Linked DNA regions of Coturnix japonica. The protein of the gene in region 2 interacts with the protein of the main gene of each other region in a biochemical or structural test. Links are inferred from orthologs where the notes say so. Each region holds a gene or a part of one and is shown on either strand. Other genes may lie near its edges.

Evidence for each region.
Region 1: the proteins of ZBTB16 (region 2) and HBEGF form a complex in vitro, tested with the Homo sapiens proteins (2 studies listed by BioGRID). The link is inferred for Coturnix japonica from reciprocal best matches to the Homo sapiens genes ZBTB16 and HBEGF.

Annotation. Positions count from the first base shown.
Region 1 is NC_029528.1:15,566,902-15,571,341, forward strand, and holds the start of HBEGF (proheparin-binding EGF-like growth factor), read right to left. Parts: upstream 2,942-4,440; 5' UTR 2,850-2,941; coding exon 2,807-2,849; intron 2,718-2,806; coding exon 2,529-2,717; intron 560-2,528; coding exon 382-559; intron 1-381. UniProt on the Homo sapiens protein: Growth factor that mediates its effects via EGFR, ERBB2 and ERBB4. Required for normal cardiac valve formation and normal heart function. Promotes smooth muscle cell proliferation. May be involved in macrophage-mediated cellular proliferation.
Region 2 is NC_029539.1:3,821,112-3,824,914, forward strand, and holds part of ZBTB16 (zinc finger and BTB domain-containing protein 16), read right to left. Parts: intron 358-3,803; coding exon 187-357; intron 1-186. UniProt on the Homo sapiens protein: Acts as a transcriptional repressor. Transcriptional repression may be mediated through recruitment of histone deacetylases to target promoters. May play a role in myeloid maturation and in the development and/or maintenance of other differentiated tissues.

The DNA.
Region 1 (4,440 bases), on a different chromosome or scaffold from region 2:
TGGACCCAACTACAGCTGAAGGAAAGTCAGCTCTGCCAGCACCTTGGCCCCACAGCAATTTCACCTCCTCCAAACTCCACAGCTGCTGCCAAGCTCAGGAGGAGCTCACAAACTGACACCCTGCAGGCAGGGGGTGCCGGAGCCTCTGCCCTAAGGCCAGATGGGTTTTGGCAAAAGCCAAGTTTGCTCGAAGGAGCAAATCCTGGCTGAAGTTTCTCAGTGCTCTTCCAGCGGCAGTGTGCAGAGAGGACACTGAGTCAGAGCGATCTGTGCACGAATGGGGAACAAGCACTAAAAATATCCCCTATGCTCTTCCTTTGCACTGCCTGGAGAATTCAAGGAACAATGACAAGGCTTTCCCGGCATGCGGCACTCACTCACATGCAGGATGGAGCACCCAGCTCTCTGATGTACTTGCATTCACCATGAATGCAGAAATCCTTGTACTTCCGCAGACACGGGTCTCTCTTCTTCCCCAAGCCTTTTCCTTTTCTTCTTTTATTCCCATTCCCCTTCTTCTTGGGAGTGACTGGGCCTTGAGGCTTTGACAAGAAAGCAACTGAAAAACAAATTCAAAAGGAGAGAACATTTATCACCTCAATTTGCCATTTAAAGGCAAGGCAAAGCAGCACAGCCCCGGTGGCTGCAGCCAACTCAACCCTGGCATTTGCGCAGCCCTTTGTTGTCTGCCCCCAAGCAGACGTTTTTCCATCTTCCCAGATTTTCACAAATATCATGGCCTTTCTGATTCATACAAGTAATTCTAAAGGAAATAAAGGAGCGAGTAATCAAGAAACTGGGCAAAAAACAGAGCTTTATGCATCTCAAATGTTGCCATTATGCCCACCAGTTTCCACTGAACACAAAACAAAATTGCTAATTGTGCTTTTATCTGGCTTTTATTTCCCCAGTCTTTTGTAAGAGTCCATTCATGGCCCTGAGGGATGCTCCTTCCTGTGGTTACAAGAATGCTTGCACACAGGACAAGAGCAGGATTAAAAGGGCAAACCCAGGTCAATTTTTGGTTTTGCAAAACCAAGCAGATGGTAAAGGAAGCATTCCCATGAATTGCAGAGGGATTCTTTAATTGCAGGACATAAGCTGGTGGGGTTTGGTCCAAGGCCAGCTCCCGGACAGGCTGGTGGGAACTGGAGCACCAAGTTCCTTGCACGCTCCCTACAGACACGGAACAAAACCAGCAACATACTAGAATAACTTACGATAAGCAGGTGCCAGAAGTAAGCCCTTCTTCCACTCAGCCTCGCAGGGTGCCGATAGCAGAGGGCACTCACTGCTTAGATAGGGACTGCTCAGCTCTCCCTGAGCACAGTGCTCAGTAACTGCAGTAACACTGTGGGAACAGGAGCTGAGCAAGGCACCAGCTGAGGAGGGGACACTGGGGAACAGGCAGCACATCAAACCCGGCTAGTTCCAAACTCCTGCCCAGCAGCTCCCTCACAAAGCGAGCCCTCAGCAAGCTCCTCCCTGCCACGCGTGAGCCTCTCGTGCTGCACAACTCCATCTGCAAGTCTAGGAAGTCGTTGCGCAACTTCAACCTCCTTCAAGGATGAAGAAGGAAACCGATACACCAGTAAACTGGGGCTTGGAGAAACCCCCCGAGCACAAATGACGTACGAGGCTACAGGCGGCTCTCTTAGGGCAAGGGTTGTCCTCTCACCCCCAGGCACCCCACTGAGAACCTCTGCTGTCATCAACCCACATCCCACGGCTCTGCCCCGTGTTGAAAGTCAGAAGTGGGAAAACTGCCCTGGCCCAAGCAGGTAGGGGGATAGATACCAACAGCATCCTTCGTGCTTTGGATCCTGGGGGGCCGCAGCAAGGGAAAGGAAGGAGACTTCAACACTGGACAGACTTATTTGTCCTTAGCTCCGTTTGAGGCACTGAGGGAGCTTGCACTCGGCGGTAGTGGGCAAAGAGCAGACGAGGAGGGAGCAGGGTGGAGGGATGCGAGGGGGACTCCCGAGGGGCCGAGCACCTCCGCCAGGTGCCGGGTGACCGAGAGCAGGGCCGGGCAGACACGGGTCCCCCGTCCCCACGCAGCCCCCGGGACGCCCCCCATCCTCCGTCCAGGGCAGAGGAGCCGAACGCCGCCGCGCGGAGCGCTCTACAGCCGGGCGGCGCCACCGGCACCTCGGCCGAGACTCCGCGCTGACGAACCCGAGGCATAAAAAGCAGCCGCGTGTGGGCGGCGGTGAGTCACGGCGATCCCCCCCCACCGGTAGGGTCGCGCTCGGGAAAGCGGCTCCGGCCCGCCATGGACCCGGGGCCGCCCCAGCACGGCTCTCCCCTCTCCAGCCGAACTCGGGCTGTCGCTCGTTTCACCCGCGAGCGCTCGAGACCTTCGGCGCGGAGCAAAAGGGGCCGGAGCCCGACGCGCAGCCCCGAGCGTCCCCCGGAGCTGCTCCCCGCTCCGGCCGAGACCCGCCGCCGCACCCCAGCCCCGCCGGCTGCTCCGCTGGGACCCCCGGGTTTCCCCCAAACCAAAGTCCCCCCCCGCCCACACGTACCTCTGGGCAGATCGCTCAGCGCGTCCCCCGAGGCCGCTCCGCCGCCCTCCTTCTCCGCGATAGTCCCCAGCAGCGGGGCCGTGGCCGGGACCGACGCCGCTCCGGCGCCCTCATGGAGCAGCACCTCGTTGTGTAGCGCTTCGCCGTGCGGACCGTCGCGGCCGAACCCTCCGACTGCCGCCGAACACACTGCGGAGAACGAGGCGCGGTGAGGTGGGATGGGATGAGACCGAACGCACCGCACCCCGTGCCCGCACCCCGGACCCCCAGCTCCGCACCTGCCGCCAGCAGCGCGTGGATCAGCACCGCCCGCCCATCCATGACCGGGCGCAGCGTCCCGGCAGCCGCTCGACTCAGCTCCGCTCCGCAGCGACTCTTCACCCGCACGGCCCCGCCGAGGGTAGAAAGGGGCTGGGCGGGGCTGGGGGCCGGCCCTCGCCAGGAAGGGCTTCCCCGGGGCTCCGCGGGGCCGCCTCCGTCGGGGCGCGTTCGCTGCTTTGCGAGGAGCCGCAGGATGCTCTTTGGAGCCTAATGCTACCGTGAAAAGTGGGCTGGAGAGGAGCGAGGCTCCCCTAAGCACCACCCGAGAGGTGTTGGAAACAGAATACAATGGCTCGGAGCTGATACCTCCTCACTGGCACTGGTACTGAGGCTGAAACCATCAGAGCACTAGCGATAGGACGAGAGGTGACGGCCTGGTATCACACCAGAGAACGTTCAGGTTGGATATTAGGAAACATTTATTTGCAGAAGATGTGGTGATGCACTGGCACAGGCTGCCCGGGGAGGTGGAGCAGTCACCATCCCTGGAGGAATTCCGGAGACGTGGAGATACAGCACCGAGGGACGTGGTCAGTGGGCATGGGGGGGACTGGCCTGTGGTTGAGCTCAGTGATCTTAGTGGCCTTTTCCAACCTTCATGATTCTGTGGTTCAGCTGTGTGTCTCTTTTCCCTGTCACCAAGCAATGCTGACGGGAGGCAGCTCAGTGCGGCAGCCTGCAGAGGTAGTGGAGGTCCTTTTTGTCAGAGGACATAACTACAGAGTATGCAAAGGGCCATGGAGAGGCTGAAGGGGCTGGAGCACCTCTCCTATGGGACAGGCTGAGGGAGCTCTAGTGTTCAGCTCAGAGGAGGCCCAGGGGTGACCTTATCAGTGCCCACAAATACTTGAAGGGAGAACATGTAGAGCACAGAGCCAGACTCCTCTCAGTATGCCCAGTGCCTGAACAGGAGCCGAAGAGCACACGCTGCAACACAGGCAGTTGCCTCTGAACATCCAGCCACACTGTTGTTCCAGCAGTGGCAGAGTGCTGGCACAGCGACCGGAGATGCTGTGGTGTCTCCTGGGAGATTTCTGAAGCTGAATGGATGCAGTGCTGGACACCCTGCTCCGGATAACTCTGCTGGGGCATGACTGGGCCAGATGGGCCCAGAGGTCCCCACCAGCCTCAGCCCCCTGTGACTCCATGATAAGTCCTGGAGCCACCACTGTGCTTGGATTGTGAGGCCATTAACCAGGTGGACTTGTGGCTTCCCCAAAGAATGTGGCACATCAGCAGGTTGCCCTGGCTACTGGCCCCATTGCTCCAGCAGTCTGTGTCCTCTACCACCCTGGGAACCACTTTGGGTTGTGTTGTGTTTGGCATAATTTTCATCCCAGGTGACAGACCAGAAAATACTGGTGATGCCAAACACTGGGCAAGGGCAGTGGCTAGGCACCATTCCAGGTTACATTTAGCATGGCCGCCTGCCCTGCATTGTTCCTGGTGGCAGCTTAAATTCCCAGGCCCAAAACCCCGATGCCAGTTTCGGTTCCGCACAGCACAGCAGCAGCATAATTAAACATTCCTGTGATTGTTGTTGTTGTCTCCAAGGAATACTGCCGGATTTGGTAACCCCCTGGCTCACACC
Region 2 (3,803 bases):
CTGGAAGCAAAGAAAGCTCCTCCAGCTCTCTCCATAGCTCACCATCAGCTGCTGGGTACCACCAAGCTGCCAGTCCCAAGCTCTCCTGCACAGAGCTTGGAACCCAAATGAGTGCACCTTGGACACAGGCAGCACTGGGACCCCCACCCCACAGCACAGGGCTGCTCTCAGTGGCCTTGGCTGTACCTGTGTGGGAGCGCAGGTGCCTCTTGAGGGCAGTGTGGCTGGGGAAGGTGCGGTTGCACTCGCTGCAGATGTAGCTGCGCACCCCGGCGTGCACCTCCATGTGCTGCTGCAGGGCAGTCTGTGTCTGGAAGCGCTTGCCGCAGAGCAGGCAGAAGACAGCCATGTCTGTACCTGCAAGAGAGGAGACAGAGGAGTGAGGCAGTGCCTGGGGGTCTCCCAGGGGTGGTCCTGACAAAGGGCACTGTGAGCCCCCGTGACCACTCAGAGCCACCAGCTCTCATTACAGACAGCAGCCTCACACACAGAGCATCTCTGGATGGGAAGAGCTCCATCACAGGGCAGAGACCCACAGCCCTCACTCCTAGGGGGCAGCAGAAGGGCTGGCAGTGGGACCGCAGCAATTCTAGCCCTTCAGCATGGAGGGGAAGTGCAAGAAGAGAGCAGGAGGATTTTATTGCATTGGGCACAGCTGGAAATCCCTTGCAGGCTTGCATCTCCACACCCTCAACCCAAATGCAAAGCACCTGCTTGGGTAATTCCCTGTGTTCTGATGGTTGGCTGCATACACCTGCGTGAGACAGAGCTCCTAATGCCAAAGAAAAGACAGCTGGATGCCTGAGCACCATGTAAAGCTGCTCTGGGTAATAGTGGACTAAACACAGAAGGACCACATGCACATCCCCAGCATTGCTTGTAACCCTCAATGGTAATGCCACCAGAAGCTTAATCCTATGAGCCACGTGCACAATGACAAAATTGGCTGCATCAACAGAAGAGTACATATAAAAGGGAACACCAACACAAAGATAGAGATACTTAAACACAGTCAATAAAAATATAAGACCTCTGTGTTATTAAACAATTTGTTTTAGTTTATGCATAGCTGATTGTTCAGAACCTATGAGTCAGTGCAAATTGTATTACGCCGGGAGATTAAGCAAATAAATGCTAGCTTTTTTGGAGACATTAAAATGGGAGGACTATGGAAATAAAATTATCTAGAAAATTGTATTAGCAATTCATTAGCAGCAGCAAGATGTTCAAGGTAAGCAACAAATACACACAACCTTTAAGACACTGTGGAGAATGGGAGGGCTGCTCCTTGCAGTGCCAAAATTGAACTGAGGGGTGCTGAGGATCAAAGCCACTACACAAGGGGGTGCTGGGGGAGCTGTGGGCACTGTGTGCTCCTGGCACCTGCAGTGTTGCTGATGGATCCCTGCTTGCAGCATCACCCCACTGAACAGGATGCTCCTCCACGGGCAGGTTGTGCATGCCCCTGTGTGCAGGGATGCTGGGTGAGCTGTGCAGCGTGCAAGCGAGCGACACTGAGAACGTGCAAATAAATGAGCAAAATGGAAATAAAACCACATAGCAGCGAGGTGGCCCCGGTGGCGATGCTGCTACCTCCCTCCTCACGGATTTATCTGGGGGACGCGCGCGCTCGCTCACAGCTGCACACAAAACTCTCCCAAGAGCCCAGGAGACACAAAGCCCGTCCGAGCGGGTGGTGCAGAGCAAATCCTGCACGGTATGCAGCCCGGCCGCGCTCTCACGGTGACAGCAGGACGGGTCAGAGGTCGGTGGGGCCGAGCCCCTGTGCCGCGGCCAGCTGTGCTATGGGGGCCCCGGCCGGCGGGACGCCAGCCCCCATCAATCCGTCGGGAGCAGCCCCGCTGGGGCCAGGGACAATGGGATCCTGCAGGGGTGGGGGTAGGACAATGCGGCCGGGCCAGTGCGCAGGCCCGGAACAAATCCTCCCTGGCACCATAGGGCCCTCATTTGTGAAACTAATTGGCCCCCGCTTGAAAAATTGGGCTATGTTGGGCCGCCGTGCTGGAGAGGAGCTGCCTTGTATGGGGAGTTAAGCTGTACAGTGGGACACGGCTGTAGGGTTGGGATTGGGATGGGTGGCCAAGGATAAGGTGACATGGATGAGGATGGGTGGCCAAGGACAAGGCGACAGGGATGGAGATGAGTGGTGGGGGACACACATCCCATTGCGTGCCCAACTGTGCTGCGATGGGGACACGGGGAGTTTGCAGCCTGGTGACACAGCAATGCAGCTCTGCAGCCACCACGCACTGTGCCATCACACAGCACACAGGCACCTCCATCACTCAACCATATCCATCTCTGAAAGCACAGCTGGCAAGGCAGGACCTGCTGGCAAGGAGAAAAAGGGGTGATGCAGGAAAAGCCCCACCTCCCCACGACGGCACCCCGTTGGCTTTGGAGCCATGGGGACGTTTCAATGCTCGGCCATTGAAAGAAAAATCACCCCCGATAAATAAACACCGCCACGTAGGCACAAAAAGAGGAAGACGGATTTATTCATTTCGCTGACGTTTTAATGGTTTCTCTCCTTTTTTTCGGGAAGATGATTACAAATTAAGCAGCATTTAAACGCTTTTTACTGTCAACAATTAAAAGGGGCGAATATGGAACAGAAAAGTGCGGTGACCATTCATTTCCAGGGAAACGCGGCTATCAGCGAACACCACGGGGCCTTCCCTGTACTGTACACCACACAATGGCAAAAAGTATACCATTAATTTTGTAGGACATTCAAAAGCAAATTAAAATATAAAAAGCTCTAGGCACAAAGATAGATACCAAGAGAGAGGGCAGAATAGGTCAAGCTTGTGGAATTAAAGTCTTAGCAACAGTGGAGGTTTAAGCACAGCCCTATTACGCTGCATTCAATAGCCACCTTCTCCCATCTTCCCTTTTTTCTCCTCTAAGAGCCGATGTGCTGTTTGCCTCCAGCCTGGAGCAGTAAACAATTAATACTGCGTGTAGCAGTGCTGCGGGTTTCCAAGGCAGGAGCGACAGGCTGCCATGTAGATGAGATGCTGGATACAGCATTAACTATTTGGAAGAGAGCGCCGCCCGCTCTGCGCAAGGCAGGTTTAAATAACAGGTGATGGGAGATGTGATTTTTGCAGGACTGATGCTTGCTCGAGGGAGGAAAAGCCCTGAGAGCGCAGCTGTGCGCATGGATATCCACGCTTCGCTTTCCAGGCTCCCAAACAAGTGCTTTTCCCCATGTATATAAAGGCAAGGGAGATGCATTTCCCATCACTCAGGGACTCCTCTTTTCAAACTTCAGGTGGGGAATGCTAAAATCTCCATAGTATTAAGCACAACGCTTCTCCTACGCCTTGACTCCACGCTAGAAGGAATTAACATGAAATTTGCCCGGAGACACGTAGGCATATGGCAAGGAATAAAGGTTTGTTTTTCCTCTTATTTTTAAAAGGCACCCGGTGCATTTCTGTACCACAAAGTTTAACATGCAGGAGGTACGCCGAAGAAATAAAAGAGACACGTCCCCTTTAAAAGGAAATATAATTTACAGTGTGCAGCCAGGCGGTCCATAGTTTCAATCTCGTTTACTATAGAGAAAACTCTGCTAGCTGTTCTCTATCCCACAAATCCGATTTAATCAGACAAGCCAGCCAGCGTGGCTTGAAGTAAAAACGGATAATTAGTAAACAGAGAGCTACTTCAGTGCTTCATTGGCATTCGAGCCGGGCTAGTGTGTCGCATTTAAAATGCAGTCTGATGAAGTTTACAAAATCAAACCATTTGTTACTCCTATTGAAGAGGCTTCA